Canis lupus familiaris: one gene and its partners. The protein of the gene in region 2 purifies or fractionates together with the protein of the main gene of each other region. This does not show direct contact. Links are inferred from orthologs where the notes say so. Each region holds a gene or a part of one and is shown on either strand. Other genes may lie near its edges.

Region 1 (6,094 bases), on a different chromosome or scaffold from region 2:
CCAAATAAATCATGATATTTTCAAACAAAGGACTATATCTGGATGAAAAAATAGAAATCTACACTATATTAAACAGGAAAAGCACACTGCAAGACAATATAAATACAACTTCATTTCTGTAGAAAATAGAAATCTACACTATATTAAACAGGAAAAGCACACTGCAAGACAATATAAATACAACTTCATTTCTGTAGAACTCTGGAATTTCTCCATGTGTTAGGTATATGCATAAAATTAGCAGGAAAGTTATTCACTCGACTGCTAAGTCATGATTTTAGGAAAGGATAAGATTATGGGTGATTTTCACTTTCGGCACTGTCATTTTTTTTCTGCACTGTCATTTTTATAACAATGATTAATTCTTGTATATTTAAAGGAAAAATCTGATGCAACAGATAAAATTATAAAATTAAGAGTTAAGAGGAAGTTAGGAATTAGTATTTAAAACAAAATTAAAAGCATTGATAAAAAGACAAAATATTTTCACCTAATATTTTTCAACTGAGATTCCACTTCATCAGCATACATGGTCATTTTCATGCTTTTCTTTGGTGAAGGAGTGGAAATCATTTTCAGTTCTAGATCATAGTCCATTTCATCGGAGTCTGAACTGCTGGCACTGGACTGCCTAGATGTGCTCCGCTCCCGGGTCTGCTTGAGAGCTGGGAGCTCCTCATGGTACTCTACTACCACCCTGTCATCTGCATCCATGTCCTGATCCTCCTCCTCCTCTTCTTCCTCTTCCTCTTCAATGGGTTCCTCTGGAACATTTACTAGTCCTAAGAAATTTAACCAAAAAACATTAGGAAAAGCACTAAAATTAATGAATCTGATTTTCTGCTCTATATTGGTGACCTTTTTAAAAGGTGGTGTTCCCGTGCCCGAGATCTTACTGGAGTATTATCTGTATTAGTGCCAATCTAGTTGCCATTCTGATACCTAAAATAGAAGATTGGCTAGGTAAAGTATGATCTAGCAACCTGATGGAATATTATAAAGTTATCTAAAGTACAGTTGTCATTATTCGTGAATTCTATATTTGCAAATCTGCCATATTTATTTGTAACTCTGTATCAACACTCACAGTGTTTTCATGGCCATTTGTGGACATGCACAGAGTGTCAAAAAAAAATTGAGTCACCAGATGTGCGTATTCCCAGCCGAGGTCAAATGAGACAACACTCTTTCTTGTTTCAGCTCTCATACTGTAAACAAGTGCCCTTTTTTGGAATCTATGAAGTGCCATGTTTTTCATATTTTTGTGGCTTTTGTTGGTGAGTTCACTTAAACATTTAAAAAAATGGCTTCCGGGTATAGTGTCAAAGCTGTCTAGTGTTTCTAAGCACAAGAAGACTGTGATGTGCCTTACAGAATAAATTTGTGTTAAGTAAGCTTTGTTCAAGCATGAGTTATAATGCTGTTGGCTGTGAGTCCAATGTTAATGAATCAACAATATGTATTTAATAAGTTATCTTTAAACAGAAACACACAGCAAAGAAGGTTATATACTGATCAGTTGATGAAAATGGTGACCAGAGTCTCTGAATGTTTTAGTATTCACTATATCAATGATCACAGTGACTTTATAGAACATAACCACCATGAATAACAAAAATCAACTGTAACTTTAGAGTTCATGGAAAAATGCTTGTAAAGTAGGACTAAAAATATATGTTCACAACAATTATATTTGTTATGAAAATAGATAAGGAAAATATAAAATGAAATAAGTTGCTTATAATAAAAGTGCTAGAATTAGGGGGTGATTTGCTTTTCAATTTCTTTAATCTAAAGATTATATGATAAAATATCTTAGAATTTGAAATTGGTATAACCTGTAACTGTAACAGAAAAGTATGTGCATTTTTTAGATGCAGATTTCAAATATACAATTTTGAATATATACATTAAATAAAAACGAGACTTCACCTGTCCGTTACAATGATAAACATGTATGCATATTATCCTATGTTTGTATGCTGACTTAGCAGTTCTACAAAGCATGTAGAAAATTCTATAAGTTAGATTAAAAATAAAAACAAATCTTTATAAAAACATAATGAAAACGGTTCTTTTATAATATGCACCAAAACAAAGGAACAAAGGATGGACGGAACAAAAAACAAAATGAAACCAAGTCGTGATATCTCATTTAACTGAGACATTCGTGTACACAAGCCAATAAGCATAAAACACTAAACGTAGCAGTCTATTTTCAACATCAAAGAAACCATAAAATCAAGTCATATGATAAAATAACTTAAAAAGTTTTCATGCAGCTTTTGATATTAATAGTAGAAAAATTAGATTGCTACAGAAAATTTTCTTTCAATTTCTCCTATGTCACATTTGGCCCTTTTTGTTAGAACAGCTCTTATTAAATCATTTGACCTCTTTTGTATGGGCAATTTAAAATTAATTGTGACTTGACTTACTTTCCTATATGTTGGCAGAGGGTGAGGGCAAGGAAGAGAGGATGATAAAGTTTGGAACCTTAAAAGACTGTATTAAGAATAAGAATATGATTTCGGGAGCCAAACATGTGTCTACCCAAGAGCTGAGCAGGCAACTACCGGAATGTCGGTGTTTATAGGACGTCAAGCCAACGTCATCCCCAATCAGGGCTCTCTTCTTGATCACATCCCGCTGAATGCGACGGGAATGATATCTTCGCTTCCTGCAACATTCCAAAATAAGCACATAATCAAAAACCAATAGGAAGGACCTTGAAATCCACTAATTGAGTTTAACTGTACACCGATGCAATGTTAGGTGCTGAAACAGACATTTTACATGAAACTAAAACTTGGCCTTTCATACCATTTAACCCACAGTTAAGAATCTTGAACTTTCTTCTTGTCTTCCTTGAGTCCACACATAGTGCTGACATTCCACTGCAGAATACCAACTGAGGGATTAAGAAAAGCTTAGGTACTATTTAAAATTGTATTTTAAAATTTTGGACTCACCAAGAATTACTAAGAATTCCTTTCATGCCTCCGTAATTTGGATTCCCATATTTCATGTAATACTGACTTCTTCTGGCTGCTCCAAGTTCCTTTTTGTCATCTAAAAATTAATTACGACAGTTACCTAGGATTTTGCATTGGTATGAAGACAATGTTGAATGGCTAAAAAAAATGTTTTCCATAGTTGGGATCAGATCAGCACAATCTACCAACAAAAGGGAAAGATACACTACAAATATTCACTCTCAGTGCCTACAAAAGCAGAGCAGTATAGAGGGGGTGGAGTAAAATACAGAGATGAATGAAGTTAAGCTAATGTTAAGGAGCTGACCTCATAGAGAAAACACTGCTAACAACAACAACAATACAACATACAAAGTTCTAAGAAGCTTAAGAGAGCTACAGTCAGTATAGCTGTGCGGGAATAAAAAAAGCTTTCTAGAAGAGGTAGCATTTTCACTGTCTCCATGAAAGATGACATTCATTTCTGAATGACAACACTCCAATAACAAAGAATTAATGTTAAAGAAAGAGACTATACATAATTCCATATATCTGGTAAAGCATTTTTTCCCATCTATCATGATGTTCTCAAAATGGCTTAAAGAAAACAGCATAGCACCATTCACTTAGAATGCATTCAAATAAGATACTCTATAAACATAGAAAAGATCACTTTTGTCAAGTTAAAATGCCAGTCAATAGAAAGAAAAGGTGGTCAGTGATCACACACATTTTCGTAACAGGTCTTTGCTAGCTCCTGGGGCACTCATGGATTACAAAAGGTGAATACCAATACACATGTATCTGGTGCTACACGTAAATAGTGGCACAAGCCAACAAGTGCACCCTTTAAAAAAAAACATGCCCACTAGCTCCTTGGAGAAATGGCTGATTCCAGATCTGGGACAGGGAAAGTACAAGTCGAGTCTGGTAAAACGAGATGTTATACTGTGCCATAAAGTAAGAAAATGCTCAAAGAATCATGAATGCATGTCAAAACAATAAAGCTTAAAGGGGCTCCACTGGCCAAATCCAAGAAGATTCATAAATCAAATGAATGATAGGAATGAATGATAACCCACTGAATAAGACTCATGAATCTAAACAGAAAGAAAGAAAGAAAAGAAAAGAAAGAAAAGAAAAGAAAAGAAAAGAAAAGAAAAGAAAAGAAAAGAAAAGAAAAGAAAAGAGCAAACTTCTTACAAAGCAGAATGCCAAATAAAGAAATGTAGAGTTAAAAAGTCATCAATGGATGCTGAGTGGAATTATGAGCAAAAGTCTATTTACATAATCTTGAAGTACCTCCCACAAATTTTTATATTAACAAATGGAAAAACAGGAGAAACCTTAACCAAGTGAGAAAAGTTAACATCTCCATAAATGGGACAAGTAAATATCATGTCTCCTGACATATGCACTGAAAATGATATAACAGCACTTCTGTGGTACTCTTGCCTAACACGCACAATTTGATTTAATCAGGAGGAGATATCAGACAAACAGAAACTGAGAGGCAGTCTATAAAATAATGAGCTGAGGGGATCCCTGGGTGGCTCAGCGGTTTAGCGCCTGCCTTTGGCCCAGGGCGCGAGCCTGGAGTCCCAGGATTGAGTCCCATGTCGGGCTCCCGGTAGGGAGCCTGCTTCTCCCTCCTCCTGTGTCTCTGCCTCTCTATCATAAATCAATCAATCAATCAATCAATCAATCAATCAATCTTAAAATAATTTAAAAAAATAAAATAACGAGCTGATAGTCTAAACATGTCTCAGTCAAGAAAAATAAACCAGGGAGTATTCCATATTCAAAATTCATATATATTTTAATGCACACCAAAATCACTGTGCAGAGAGTCTTACAAATTGAAGAGGCTTTTATTTTTTTTATTTTTTCTTTTTTTCAAAGATTTTATTTATTTATTCATGAGACACATACAGAGAGAGAGAGGCAGAGACATAGGCAGAGGGAGAAGAAGGGTCCAATGCAGAAGCCCAACATGGGGCTCGATGCTGGGACTCCAGGATAACCCCCTGGGCTGAAGGCAGGTGCTAAACTGCTGAGCCACCCAGGGATCCCCTTAAGAGGCTTTTAACTCCTTTGAGAGAATGGCACTATTAGCAACGTCCAGGAAGATACTGCTACGATGAATAAAAAAGTATAACTTTAAAATGTTTTCGTAGTTCAGATGATAAACTGAACAGTACAGAGGACAAACTAGCTTTAGCAGAAAATAACTTCCTTTAGCCAGAAATCACAAAAACTATGCAAAAATAGCTAATATTCACCTTCAAAGTCTGAAATTCAACTCAGACAGCAAGCCATCATTTCACAAGCATAGAATATTATTGTTTGAAGGGACTCTAAGATTACTTGACCTAACTTCATATTCAAAAGAGATGGATGTCACTCAAAAATAAATGACTTAGATTAAAATTAAAAATTAATGCCAAATAACACATTTACCTTTTGTAGCAAATCTCATGAATAACCTATTTCCTTTTGCAAGTTTGTTAGCTGGACGAAGATCATTTCTTAGCAGAGACTCTTCTTCTACTTGAGACAATGTGTCCAACTTAAGAAAAAAGAGCATTTTCAATACAAAAATTACATTTTCTTTCATATTTATTCAGTAGCAAAGCCACTATCGAGAAAGCATTTTTAACAATTCTTAAAACAAAACAAAACAAAACAAAACAAAACAAAAAAACACAATTCTTGAAGCATGACAGCACTGATCCTCTGAGACACTGTTAAGTCAGAGGTCTTCCCTGAACACCTTGTCTGAAAGAAGAGTCTCCATCATTCTCTACCTGCTTACCCTTCTTTTCTCCATAGCACTCCTCACTTCCTGACATTACATATCTGTGCATCTGTGCATGGTCTTTCTTCACCACTAGAATGTATGTTCCAAGAAGGGAAGGACTTTGGTTTTATGCTATATCCACAGGACCTAGAATCTGGTATATAGTAGGTACTCAGTACTTTTTAAATGAATACACTTTAATATTTCCAACAATAGCACATGTCCCATTAGGAATATTCTGTCACTTACTTTTTCTCAATTTTACTCATTAGATAACACTTCAAAGTATGTCTCGACAAAACAATGTTTTTATTCAGAA
Region 2 (5,534 bases):
CAGTATGAAAACTAGTTTTTCTTTAAACCTCTAATCTAGCTTAACAGTGCAGCTTAAATTTTTACCTGCTGGCTTGTGCTCATACCAGCTTTTAAAGACTGCTTCTTCAACTCCAGCTGCAGAATATAGCCCAGCTATGTGAGAGACTCTTCTTTCAATTTCTGCCGGCTTTGTTTTCATAATATTAAATGTCAAGCTTTAGCTGGGCAGAGTTAGAGGTTTATTATCAGTCAATGTAAGACTGAACTTCAAAACAAATTCAATTTTGCTTAAGGGAACATTGTAAAGTAACAATTCTTGGTATTACATGCCTCATATGATCCATTCAAATCATAGAGAAATACATCTTTATGTGTCACTGTTCCAAGAGACAAACAAATGTGAACAGCTAAAACATCTTAAAAATGCACCAAGCTTATGAAGTCTCAAACAAAACTTGAATTTTCTGTACATACTCCTGTCAAATGAAGTTATTTCCTGTACACCAATCCTCTTGTAATCTGGTCTTCTACTTCCTTTCATTTGACCTAGATCGGCTAAAAAGAAAAAAAAAAAAAAGGAAAGTTTCATACATAACTCAGTAATACAACTGTATCGGACTTTTGTTTTTGAAAAATAATAAAAATAATCAAAATGGTTTAAGATAACCAATTCCTGTTTTTAATAGTTTATAAACAGTCTAAGTCATTAAAGGTCTTACCTACGAGACCTAGAGAAGGATCGGGACGGCTTGTGATTTCTCTCCCGGGACAGTGATCTCTCTCTCCTCCTATCTCTAGAAAGGGACCTAAAACCAGAAGAAAAATAGGACCCACTTAGAATTATACACAACAAACCTCTCTTAAGAACTCTTCAAAAACTAAAAGTTGGCTCATTCCTACAACACTGGCTCACTCTGTAGACCACTTGATTCATTACTAAAGCTAAAGTTTTTTTTTTTTTTTTTTTTTTTTACCACTAACCATGCCATTTAGAAAACAGTTTAAGAACAGGAAATGCTGTCACTTCTGAGAACACGGCCAAAAAAAAAAAAAAAAAAGAGCTATTTACCTGCTCCGGCTGCGGGAGAAGCTTCTCCGTCTTGGAGATCTAAAAGCAGAAACAGGAAAATTAGGCTAATTGTCAATTAGTATTTATGGCGTGAGGCATTTCCCAACTTTTCAATCTCACTGTTGGGCCCAGTGAACGTGCCGAAGAACTGGCACCCATCGTCCAAAAAAACAAAATAAAACAAAACCAAATTAAAAAAAAAAACAGGAAAAAAAACAGAAAAGAAAAAAGGCACAGAAGGATTAAGGAACCAAAAGCTCAAGTGAAAAGCAGGTATTCCAACCATGGACTCACTTTAACAAAGAATGCTTCACAGCAGATCTGTCCAATGCAAAACTTCATGTCAAACTAACTTCACTACCCAAACACCACGCCAAAATATAGTCCCACAAGTAGTTCCAAAAACAGTACCATAAACCAGTATTTGGAACCCATGCAAACCTATAAGTCCATGACAAGACTTAGGTACCAGGTGGATAGTGTAATTTTGTGAAAACGCGCTAGGTGTAAATACTGATGCCATTAAGTGCTACATTAGAACTGCATTTGTGATCGTCACATTTAAGAGTGTGTTTAGGTTCATAAAAATTACCTTAGCTTGGCCCACTTTACCCCCAAAATTTAAATTTTGAAAACTGTTAGTAAAACCATTTAAAGGTGATAGGATTCAACAAATTTTTGCTAGAAAGGAAAGCTAAATCTGTTAGAGTTATTAAAATTTTTAGTTTGGCATCTCACACATGCAAATAAGTTTCACTTGAAGGTCTAGTTACATTATGAGTTCCCTATCACCCTTAAAAGTTTTATTCAAGCAATATATATGTACGTTACCATTCAATTATGCACAGCCAGCCTTTGATCCAGAAAAAAGAATTACTTTAAGCCGCTTACTCCTTATTTTAACCAGCAGTAAACTGTATAAGCAGGAAAAACTTACTAGTTTTGGGTTTCAACAAGCTAGAAATGGTGAGGTGAGGCTGCCGGACTGACGGCCAGGAAGAATTTGCTGAAAAGGTTTTGCCAGATGTTGCGTTGGATTTAGTTGGTTGGCGAAGGGGGTGTTGTGGATTTTTCCTGCTTTTTTGTTAGCCGAAGGCTGCTGCTGTAGTTGTTGTGAAGACATTTGGTAAATAAACAGCTGAGCTGATTGGCCAGGAATGTGTGGGCGGTCGAGGTGGCTGCTGCCGATTTGGTTAAGGTTGGAGAGAAGGCTGAGAGAAAACAGCATGCTCGGGAACCAAAGGGCGGTGCAACCTGACGACTGGCCATGCCTGGGTCATGTGAAACGACACCAGCCAAGCTGAATGGGGCGCGCTGGTCACATGACGCTGAAAGGGCTAGTTGACTGGCTAATGCAGACTCAGAGGGTGGTGAGAAGAGACATGATGGTGACTCTGTAACGGGGTTCATTTTTATTAATAGATGGACCAAAAAGCACAAAAAAAAAATGAAAAACAAGCCATCAGTACAACCATCTATTTAGCTAACAAATACTCTTTATTATGATGGGCAACAGTGTGTTGTTTTGTTTTTCAAAATAGCAAAAGGGGCAAGATTTTGAACTCCTATCTCCTAGAAGGACTTCACTCACCTGTAAGAGGTAAAATTCAGTCCTTATAGAAACTATTTTTGGAGGTTTGAGGAGATGTGGAGTTAGCATCCAGACAATACTGCCTGGTCCAAGAATGATGCCATTTTTCAATTACAAAAAAACTGAAATCTCTCCTATTTGGGTTTGAAGAACAGATGACTGGGATTACTTCTGTAGCCCCCTTTATCGGTCAGTGACTTTAGTTTCAGAATGATTTCTACTTTACCAGTTGTAACATTACAACAGCTGCCTGCTTGATAAATACTACAATCGTGCTAATAGTAGAAAACACATTTTTGTGAAGAGCTAGTTGAATGTAATGTTTGTCATTATGGAGTCAAGAAATGGAAAAAGGCCTAATTGAAGTATAAGGGAAGACTTGGAAAGATGCAACTAGAAGATGAACTAGAAGATAGATCCAAGATAGAAGTTACTGACTACCAACATGAACAGTGACCTAAAGACAAAAGCCAACACTCAGCACAACTCACATACCCCAAACTACACCCAGCAAATGTTTCGTAAAAATCTCCAATCTTCCAAGTTTAAAACCCACCAACAAACTTTAAGAGAAATACCTGCTCCCATTAGCTACTCCATTACACCAATACCTCTAAGCACGCTCTCAAGTACCTGCGCCGAGGTGGAGGACTCCTTCTCCGATAATCATCTCGAGGGCGACGACCCCAAGAAGGAGGTGGGCCACGATTTCGACTTCTCTTTTCACCATTCGAGAGTTCCACTCTTACTCGGCAGCCACACAGCGTTCTAAGAATAAAAGAAATATTAAACTTAAAAGAGCCAGACTAAGAGGTGTATTAAAGCAAAGTGTTTCTACTTATAGCTTCTTTGCAAAGTACACTTACGAATGTCTGTAAAATCCTAACAGCAAAACAAGTATTTCTAATAAAGAAAAACTTCTTTACATTTTAATGCTTTGTTAGTCTTAATCAGAATTCAGTGTTGTCAACATTTCAAGTGTGAAAACCCCTGGACTCCAAGAACTAGCTCATCTGTACATCCTGCTGGGACTTCATGATCCCACCACTTTTTTATTAATCTTAAACTGTATTTGCTTGTCTTTCTCCTCTCTCTCTCTCCAAGCAACAGCAGGGAACCAAAGCATTATGGCCATTTTACATCACCATCTCCTTTCAACGGCCACAATAATTGACAGGAAACTACAGCTGAGAATAGTTGGGAAAGTTCTCCCTCACCTCTTCATTGTTACACATCTGTTTAGATAAACCACTATTATTTGGACAGTGATTTGGAAAAAGTGGAGTCCTGGAAAAATGGGTCTCTATGATCTGCCCTGCCTGGATAAATGACCTTTCATACAATTTTAAAGCCAATCCTAAACCCTTTAACTTTTTGGATCTTAAAGATTAAGATCCATCATTTCCCTTGGTCTCATGAAATCCAGTGTTTTTCAAAGACCAGGAAGGAGGGGGATAAGGGCAGCCACCTGGTTCCTCTAAGAGTTACTCATCAGCCAGTAATAGGACACAAAATGAAATAACTACATATTCCACACTTACTAAGTATTTCAAACACATTTATTAAAGAGGTTATAATAAACCCCAATGTAACCATCCACTTACAACCGTCAGTTTGTGGCCATTTTAAAAAAGATTTTATTTATTTATTTATTCATGAGACACAGGCAGAGGGAGAAGCAGGCTCCCTGCAGGGAGCCTGATGTGGGACTTGATCCTGGGTCTCCATTATCAGGCCCTGGGCTGGAGGTGGCGCTAAACCGCTGAGCCACCCAGCTGCCAAGTTTGTGGTCATTATTATTTGAATATCTGATTTCCAATGGTTTCAGAGAAAATTCAAAAGAGGACACCATGTGGAAGGTATAGATTAAAATGCTTTAATCACATTTTGGATACAAAAACCCACCCACCAAGAATTGACCATTAAACCTCACTGGTCACCTGAATAAAACTGTTGTGCTTTTTCGTTACAGCAAAGACTTATGTCTCTAACGACAAACTTCCGACAGGCAAGCACCCATCTAAAAGCCACAAATCCTAAGAACTTTATACATTAAAAACACAAACCACGTTATTTATCAGTATAAATTAGTCATCAAATTACCTTCCATCTAGCTCTCGGACAGCATCCGCTGCATCTCGGGGATCTTCAAATTCAACAAAAGCAAAGCCGGGAGGGTTTCTAGCAACCCACACACTTCGGAGTGGTCCATAATAGCCAAAAGCTCGTTCCAATTCAGTCTTGTTACCATTGTTTCCAAGATTACCTACATAAACCTTGCAGTCCAATGGACAGGAATCACGATGCATTTCTGTAACATAAAAATACCCCAAACATTAATCATTTATGTCAATAATCTACACAGTGAAATACAGATCCTTAAGAAATGATGATGAAACAAGTACTACCCTCAAACCACCCATTTCTCTAATCTACACTGATATCCACCAGGAATCCACCATAAATTACATTAAGGAAAAAAAAATGCCTCCCTGAAAAGCTAAGGGAGGGGAGACACTCTAGGACCATTTACTATGATCTGGGCACTGAACTAGGGACTTTATCTAGTATTACAATTAATCTCAAAAATAAATCACTTAGAAAAGCAGGGTAACTTGCTCAGAAGCAAATCCTGGAGACACAAGAAACAAATGAGAATGCTCAAAACCAGAAAGTAGTTAAGGCAGAGCCGCTTGAGAAGTGGTACTAATAGGTCTCCATAAGCAAAAACTTAACTAGCTTTGCTCAAGCAGGCAAATATTAGTTTTTTTTTTTTAGAAAAATGTACCTCACCGCAGCACTATTCTCAGTAGCCAAATGAAAAACTGGACAAGCAGAATATATTACCCATACAATGGAATATTATTCAGAATAAAGTGCTGATAAATGCTTC
Region 3 (6,094 bases), on a different chromosome or scaffold from region 2:
TTTCCTCTTCAGAGGGCGTGAATGGCTTATCTAGGGGACAATGAAAACACACTCAGGCACTACAACAGCCCCACTGATTTCAATGGGGCAAGACAAAGAGCCAAACACCAAGAAAGCTGGGACACTACTGCCAGAAGCCAGAGGATTTCCTCCCACGAAGAATGCCACTCAGGAACTCCCACAACCGGGGCCTGTCCTGAGACATGATCCTCACTGAAAAAGGACAAGGACCCACCAGCTTTCCCACGGTCACTGCTGACCTCGACTCGAGCCATAAGCCGGAGCCAGCCGGCCTTCCGGCTTAGCTCCTCCAAGTCCCACAGCCCACCCACCTTGGGCCGCGCTGGGGACGGCCGCGGCCTCTTCTTTACTTCAATCCAGTTCTCAGAATCCAGGTCAGGCAGGCTGGCAGACAGGCCCTTGGGCAGCGTCTTTAGGTTGCTGACCTCTTCTGTTTTGGTTGGCACCGGGGTGACTGCACGGGGAGAACCAGGTGCTGACTCTGAAGGGTGGAAAGGTGAGGTCCTCAACCTTCCAGCTGTCCTCTCGATGACAACCCTAAGGACTGTTGGCTGGAGGACAACAGGAAGGCACCTCGAGGCCCAGAGTACCTACCTGTCTCCTTCTGGTAATGCTGGCGGGGCACAAACTCGGGGCAGTTGAGGAGCTGGGAGAAATCAGTCTGGGAATAATCAACTATGGGGGGACCAGGAAGAGGCCATTTCTCCGGCTCCTCCCTCCTGCGGACTTTCTCATCAACGATCTCCACCACCTTGCTGTCCTTTAGGGCCTGCAGGGGAGAAGGAAGGAGTCTATGCAAAGAAAAGACTTGGAAAGAATGAGGTCTCAGAAGCTGGCAGACGAATGGCTGGCCCCCATGAACTCAGGAAGGAGTCTAGTGCTGGCAGGAGTATAAGAAAACTGGCACCATCTTCCACAACTAGCAGACAGACGAGATGTTCAAACTTGTAGGAGGGCACCACCGTGAAAAACATAACCTGCCCTTTGACTTTGCCATTCATTCTATATCCATTCATCCGCCCCCAGAGAAACAGGGCCACAGATAGATTACATTATGTGTAAGATGTGGATAAAAAGCCATTCATAAAAAAAAAAAAAAAAAAAAAGCCATTCATAGCAACAGTCTGTAATATGGAAAAAACTGGAAACTACCTAATTTGCCACCATATAGATCATTTAAAATAAGTAACGGCCTCTCTATTCAGTGGTATACTACTCACATTAAAAACAGCTTCACATGTGCTGAGGTGGAAAGAGCCATAAAAAAAACAAAAAAACAAAACAGGTGTAGGTCAATGTGCCTAAGATACCACTGGTGTTTGAATTTTTAAATAAAAACTTACAAACACATACACATTTTTCTAGGATTCACAGGTAAATTGCTATGGGTGCTTACTTATCTCTAGGAAAAAGGGTGAAGAGTGGAGAAGAGAGGAGACTTGTCTTTAAAAATCCTTTTAGTGGAAATGGGAAACATTTCAACAGTGCAACAGGCATTCTGCTCTACTGCCGTCAGAAGTGCAAAGGCACAGCCCCCTGAAGAAAGGGAACCCAGCAATTTGCCCTGTAGTGCAGCCTTCTCACTTCTATAAATCTACATCAATGATACGCTGGCAAAAATATGAAAAGATATATATGCAAGTCTAAGTAGGAATGAAGAGCATCTTTCTCTTATGTACTACTATGCAGTCAGCACCCAAATGTATTAACTGAAAACAAAAGAACAGGTAAAGAAATACATGCTCTATATGTTGCCATCTAAGAGAGGAAAAGGATACAAATACAGGAAGAGGCATTTGCTTATTTTTTTAAACAAAGGATTTGAAACAAATTGCCTATAAGGGAATAAAAGGAAAAAGGAGAATTTTAAGAGAGAATTTTAAGTCGGTCTTCTAGGAATATACCATGTTGATTTTACAGTCATGCAAATGTCTTACCTAAGTGCAAAACAATTAGAAATTGGAGGGGAAAAAGCAATCCCTAAAACTTGAGAGCTAAATGAAACTAACGAAACTAATACACATCAAATTAAAAACATAACCATACAAAGATCATTCCAGTACTTGAAAACAGTCATTTGAGTGTTTAAGTAGAAAAAAACCCTGTTTTTAGTAGTAGTAGAGGTATTATTATAAGAATAAGGTATACAAACTATTGAATAAAACAAAATGAGTAATTATGTTGAGGTCATCATCAGCATTAGGATTTGGGGTACAAAAGTATTACAAATAAAAGGTCATTGGTGTTATAAAGTCCTTGTAGTCCTGAACTTTAATAGAAAATTTCAGTATGATCTCCTGACGTACTTAAAAAAAAAGAAGCAGGGCAGCCTGGGTGGCTCAGCGGTTTAGCGCTGCCTTTGGCCTGGGGTGTGATCCTGGAGACCCGGGATTAAGCCCCACGTCGGGCTCCCTGCATGGAGCCTGCTTCTCCCTCTGCCTGTGTCTCTGCCTCTTCCTATCTCTCTCTCTCTCTCTCTGATGAGTAAGTAAAATCTTTAAAATAAAAAAAAGCAGCTCTAGAAACAATGATCAATCAAAGCAGCAATGAACATCCCTATAACTCCAACTGTGTGGTATATAAATATCATTTCCCCAAAAGAGGATCTAAAGCTCCTTGAAAAAAAGCCTATTCCAGATCTGAGGCAGGAAATGTACCAGATCAACCAGGATTCCTCTAACTCCAGATGGGACAACTAGATTCAGTTTATGAACTGCAATGGGCTGAAACTACAGGATGTCTGAATCCACAGGTTTGTGATGATACTAAAAGACACTAAAGCAAAACAACCCCACACCTGAACCCACAACCCGTAAAGTTATCAGGAATCAACTCATAATTCTGACAATCGGTTAACAAAGGGAAAGATCAAGTATTTATCTGCTCTTTCTGTACAAACCATACGTCTTGGTAACTGAATAGCTGATGAGGCAAAGTTCCTCCTTAAAGAGGCATTCCAGCTAACAAATGAAGACAGATCGATAGAATTAGAATTTCACCATTTCACAATCCCTAATGAAATAACAGGCAGGGGTCATCAACAGCAGCTTGCATCAGGAGAGAGAACAAATGAAATGCTCTGTGCCACCTGAGAGAACATATCATTATCTATAAAGGATTCTTTTTTTTTTTTTTTTTTTTCTATAAAGGATTCTTGACAAAGAGGGGAGGGAAACTCCCCAAACCTGAATCTGATCAGGCTCCTGGAGGAATACAGAAGAACATGTTAGAGGACATCACTTGTGGCCCATGAGAAATTTGACAAGCTACATAACCCAGTTTATTCCAATTAATAAATTGCAGAGTAAAAGAGAAGGGAAGAGGAGACTTAGTAAGGCAACACATGGGTCTTCTTTGAATCCTGATTCTCATAAAATACAAAAATGTTTTTTGACAAATGGGGAGAGTTCGCAACTGTTTAGACATATTAAAGAATTATTAACATTTTTACATGGGATTATGATATAGTGATTACATTTTTTATCAGGTATTTATCTTTTAGAGATAAGTACTAAAACATGGATGAAATGTCAGGTTACCTGAGATTTTCTGCAAAGTAATTTGGAAGAGGAAACAGATGGGGGATAGATGGAGTGAGACGGGCCATGAGTTGGTAATTGCTGAGGCTGGGCGATGGGTTCATCATACCATTCTGTCTACTTCTGTAAATGTCTGCAATTTTCCACAGTAAGAGGGAGAAAGAGGAGAGAAGGGAGGCAGAGAGGCTGGCCAAGCCTTGAAGCTTTAGCAGAAGTCATCAGATGAGGACTCTTCCAGGGTTTTCTGCCGGGGCCCACACTCCAACTCCATAAGTAAGGACCTTTCCTTCCCCTGCACCCCAGCCCCAGGGAGGGAGACCTACCGCAAAGATGAGTGAAATGTCAGTGGTAAGGGCCTGCACTCGGTGGAAGGAAGCAATAAGGGTGATGGGAAGGAAACCGTCAGCATCCATTTTCCGTCGCAGGAAGAAGTCTCGCTCTAAATTGTCCACGCTGAAGTAGTATTCGCTGGGTGGAGAGGAGAAGACAGAAGATTGCTGCGTCACTTAGGAGTCTGCCTTTTTCGTCCTACACCCCCCCACCCCCGGCCACCTCACATAGCCTCTTACCGACCCTGACCCTATCGTACGGACAGTATCAAGGGCTGGAAAGAGATGTTACCCTGTCATGGCTCCCTCGCCTCAGGTTAGACCCACTCCCCCGGCCCTTCAGCCTCTCTGTAGGCCTGGCAAACCCCTCATCCACCATTAAAACCCAGTTCCATTGTCACCGGTCACCTTCTCTTCTCCTAAAACACTATCACACTCTACCGAAATGATCCACTTCCTTGTACGGCTCCCCAACTAGACTGAGGGACAATCTATAGGACTGGTTTGGAGCTAGGGTTCCACATCAGGCGGAAATGGATTCAAATCTGTGCCTTGTTGTTTACTAGCTCTGAGACTCTGGGTAAGTTCCTGGGTCTGTGTGCTCATCCCTGAAATGGAGTTAACACCCAGCTCATAGGAATGAGATAAGTGTAGGACCAAGCAAGAGAGAATGCCTGTAAAGCGCTTAACACTGGGCCTCACTAACAGGGAGTACTCCACAGGTGTTTGCTAGCATTCTGACCATGTTGCCATTAACACAGACAAGTGCAGAAGGGGGTGGACTCTGGACATTCCTCCTTCCTTTTTATCACTGGTAATTTCTAAATTTCTTAAAGCAAATACGATATTACTTTTGCAATATTATCTTTATGAAAATTTAACTTTTAAAGGGTAAGTGCTGGTTATCTTTCTCAGCTCCAGCCAAAGGCAACCAAAGATTGCTGGTGCAGGATATGCTGCTACCATAGCACCAGAAGGACCTGCCAATCCCTACTCTACCCAGCATGACAGGTCCCAACCCTATGCATCGCTCCAGGAAGGAGGCTTCTGTCCACTCACATCTGTCGCTTGATGTAGTCTTTGAGCAGTTCCTGGTCCACACTGTAAAGCTCAGTGCTGCTGACATTGTCAAAGTAGTAGGTGATGTTGTTCATGTACTTGGGGGTACGAGGCCCCTCTGCACCATCAAACTTTCGGTAGCCAAACTGGTAGTCAAAATGGGCTATGGGGGGAAATGGGTGCCATAAGGGAGAGAAGATCCCTGCCCACCGCCCCCGCCACACTCCCTCGGACATCCCGGAGCCCAAAGGGGCCTCACGTACTTCGAGTGCCACCCCGGCCGCGTCCCCGGCCGCGACCGCGCCCCCGTCCACGGCCACGGAAGGAAGCCCGCGCCCCACCAGCCCCATCACTCTTCACACTCGATGTCTCATCCTGGTCGTGCCAGGCAGGCTCCGGTTTGGTCTCTGGTTGCCAGGCTGGGGTGGGGGGGGCCATGGGCACGGGCACGTAGGTGGCAGGCTCAGACCCTATGGGGAGAGGGGCACTGGGTCACGCTTGAGGGTGACCCCCATGCCCAGGCCCTCCACAGTGGGTGGTACATACCTTTGATCTCCCCTCGGTTGGCAGGTGTGTGTCGTGGCTCTGGAGGGCGAGCAGGGCGTGAGACCAGTTTTTCTCTGGGCACTTCAGGTTTCATGTCTATTTGCAACGGAACCCACTTGTGTTTGTTCCCTGGACAACAGCATGGGCACATGAAGAAGGTTTAAGAGAGGTCCCTCCTATCCATGTTCACCCCTAACCATTCTTCAGTCTGGAGCAATAGGTCTGACTCAAAATCTGATGACCTTGGGCAAATTCCTTCTCCCACACCGGACCTTATTTTTATCTCTAAAATAAGGAAGCCATGGACCTCAATGTGACAGACCCTCCTGGCTGACTCCTAATACTGATTTCTCCTTGGTCAGAGAACCCCTTTCTGGAGCCAGACATGTGGCTGCCCAGAATCAAGACTGTACTTCCAGGCTCCCTTTCGACAGGTGCCAAAATTCTATGAGAGCCATCACATGAAAGTAGTCAATTCCAGGTTGAGTCCTTAAAAGGGAGCTACTCTCTCTCCTTTTCCATTCCTGCTAGCTGGAATGAGAAGGAAGAGTGAGCTACCTTGGATGAAAAGAGCCAACACACCACAGCAAGATGAAAGGA

Evidence for each region. Proteins that work in one complex are often made in the same cells at the same time.
Region 1: the proteins of SRSF3 (region 2) and NCBP3 purify together in Homo sapiens (co-immunoprecipitation; 3 studies listed by BioGRID and IntAct, with this or other methods). This does not show direct contact. The link is inferred for Canis lupus familiaris from reciprocal best matches to the Homo sapiens genes SRSF3 and NCBP3.
Region 3: the proteins of SRSF3 (region 2) and LARP1 purify together in Homo sapiens (co-immunoprecipitation; 3 studies listed by BioGRID and IntAct, with this or other methods). This does not show direct contact. The link is inferred for Canis lupus familiaris from reciprocal best matches to the Homo sapiens genes SRSF3 and LARP1.

Annotation. Positions count from the first base shown.
Region 1 is NC_049230.1:47,578,431-47,584,524, forward strand, and holds part of NCBP3 (nuclear cap-binding protein subunit 3), read right to left. Parts: intron 5,545-6,094; coding exon 5,436-5,544; intron 3,073-5,435; coding exon 2,973-3,072; intron 2,681-2,972; coding exon 2,577-2,680; intron 783-2,576; coding exon 491-782; intron 1-490. UniProt on the Homo sapiens protein: Associates with NCBP1/CBP80 to form an alternative cap-binding complex (CBC) which plays a key role in mRNA export. NCBP3 serves as adapter protein linking the capped RNAs (m7GpppG-capped RNA) to NCBP1/CBP80.
Region 2 is NC_049233.1:5,859,586-5,865,119, reverse strand, and holds part of SRSF3 (serine/arginine-rich splicing factor 3), read right to left. Parts: intron 4,953-5,534; 5' UTR 4,951-4,952; coding exon 4,745-4,950; intron 3,410-4,744; coding exon 3,275-3,409; intron 1,090-3,274; coding exon 1,051-1,089; intron 788-1,050; coding exon 701-787; intron 537-700; coding exon 509-536; 3' UTR 1-508. UniProt on the Homo sapiens protein: Splicing factor, which binds the consensus motif 5'-C[ACU][AU]C[ACU][AC]C-3' within pre-mRNA and promotes specific exons inclusion during alternative splicing.
Region 3 is NC_049225.1:55,873,990-55,880,083, forward strand, and holds part of LARP1 (la-related protein 1), read right to left. Parts: intron 5,624-6,094; coding exon 5,495-5,623; intron 5,419-5,494; coding exon 5,212-5,418; intron 5,112-5,211; coding exon 4,949-5,111; intron 4,029-4,948; coding exon 3,884-4,028; intron 791-3,883; coding exon 616-790; intron 503-615; coding exon 333-502; intron 1-332. UniProt on the Homo sapiens protein: RNA-binding protein that regulates the translation of specific target mRNA species downstream of the mTORC1 complex, in function of growth signals and nutrient availability.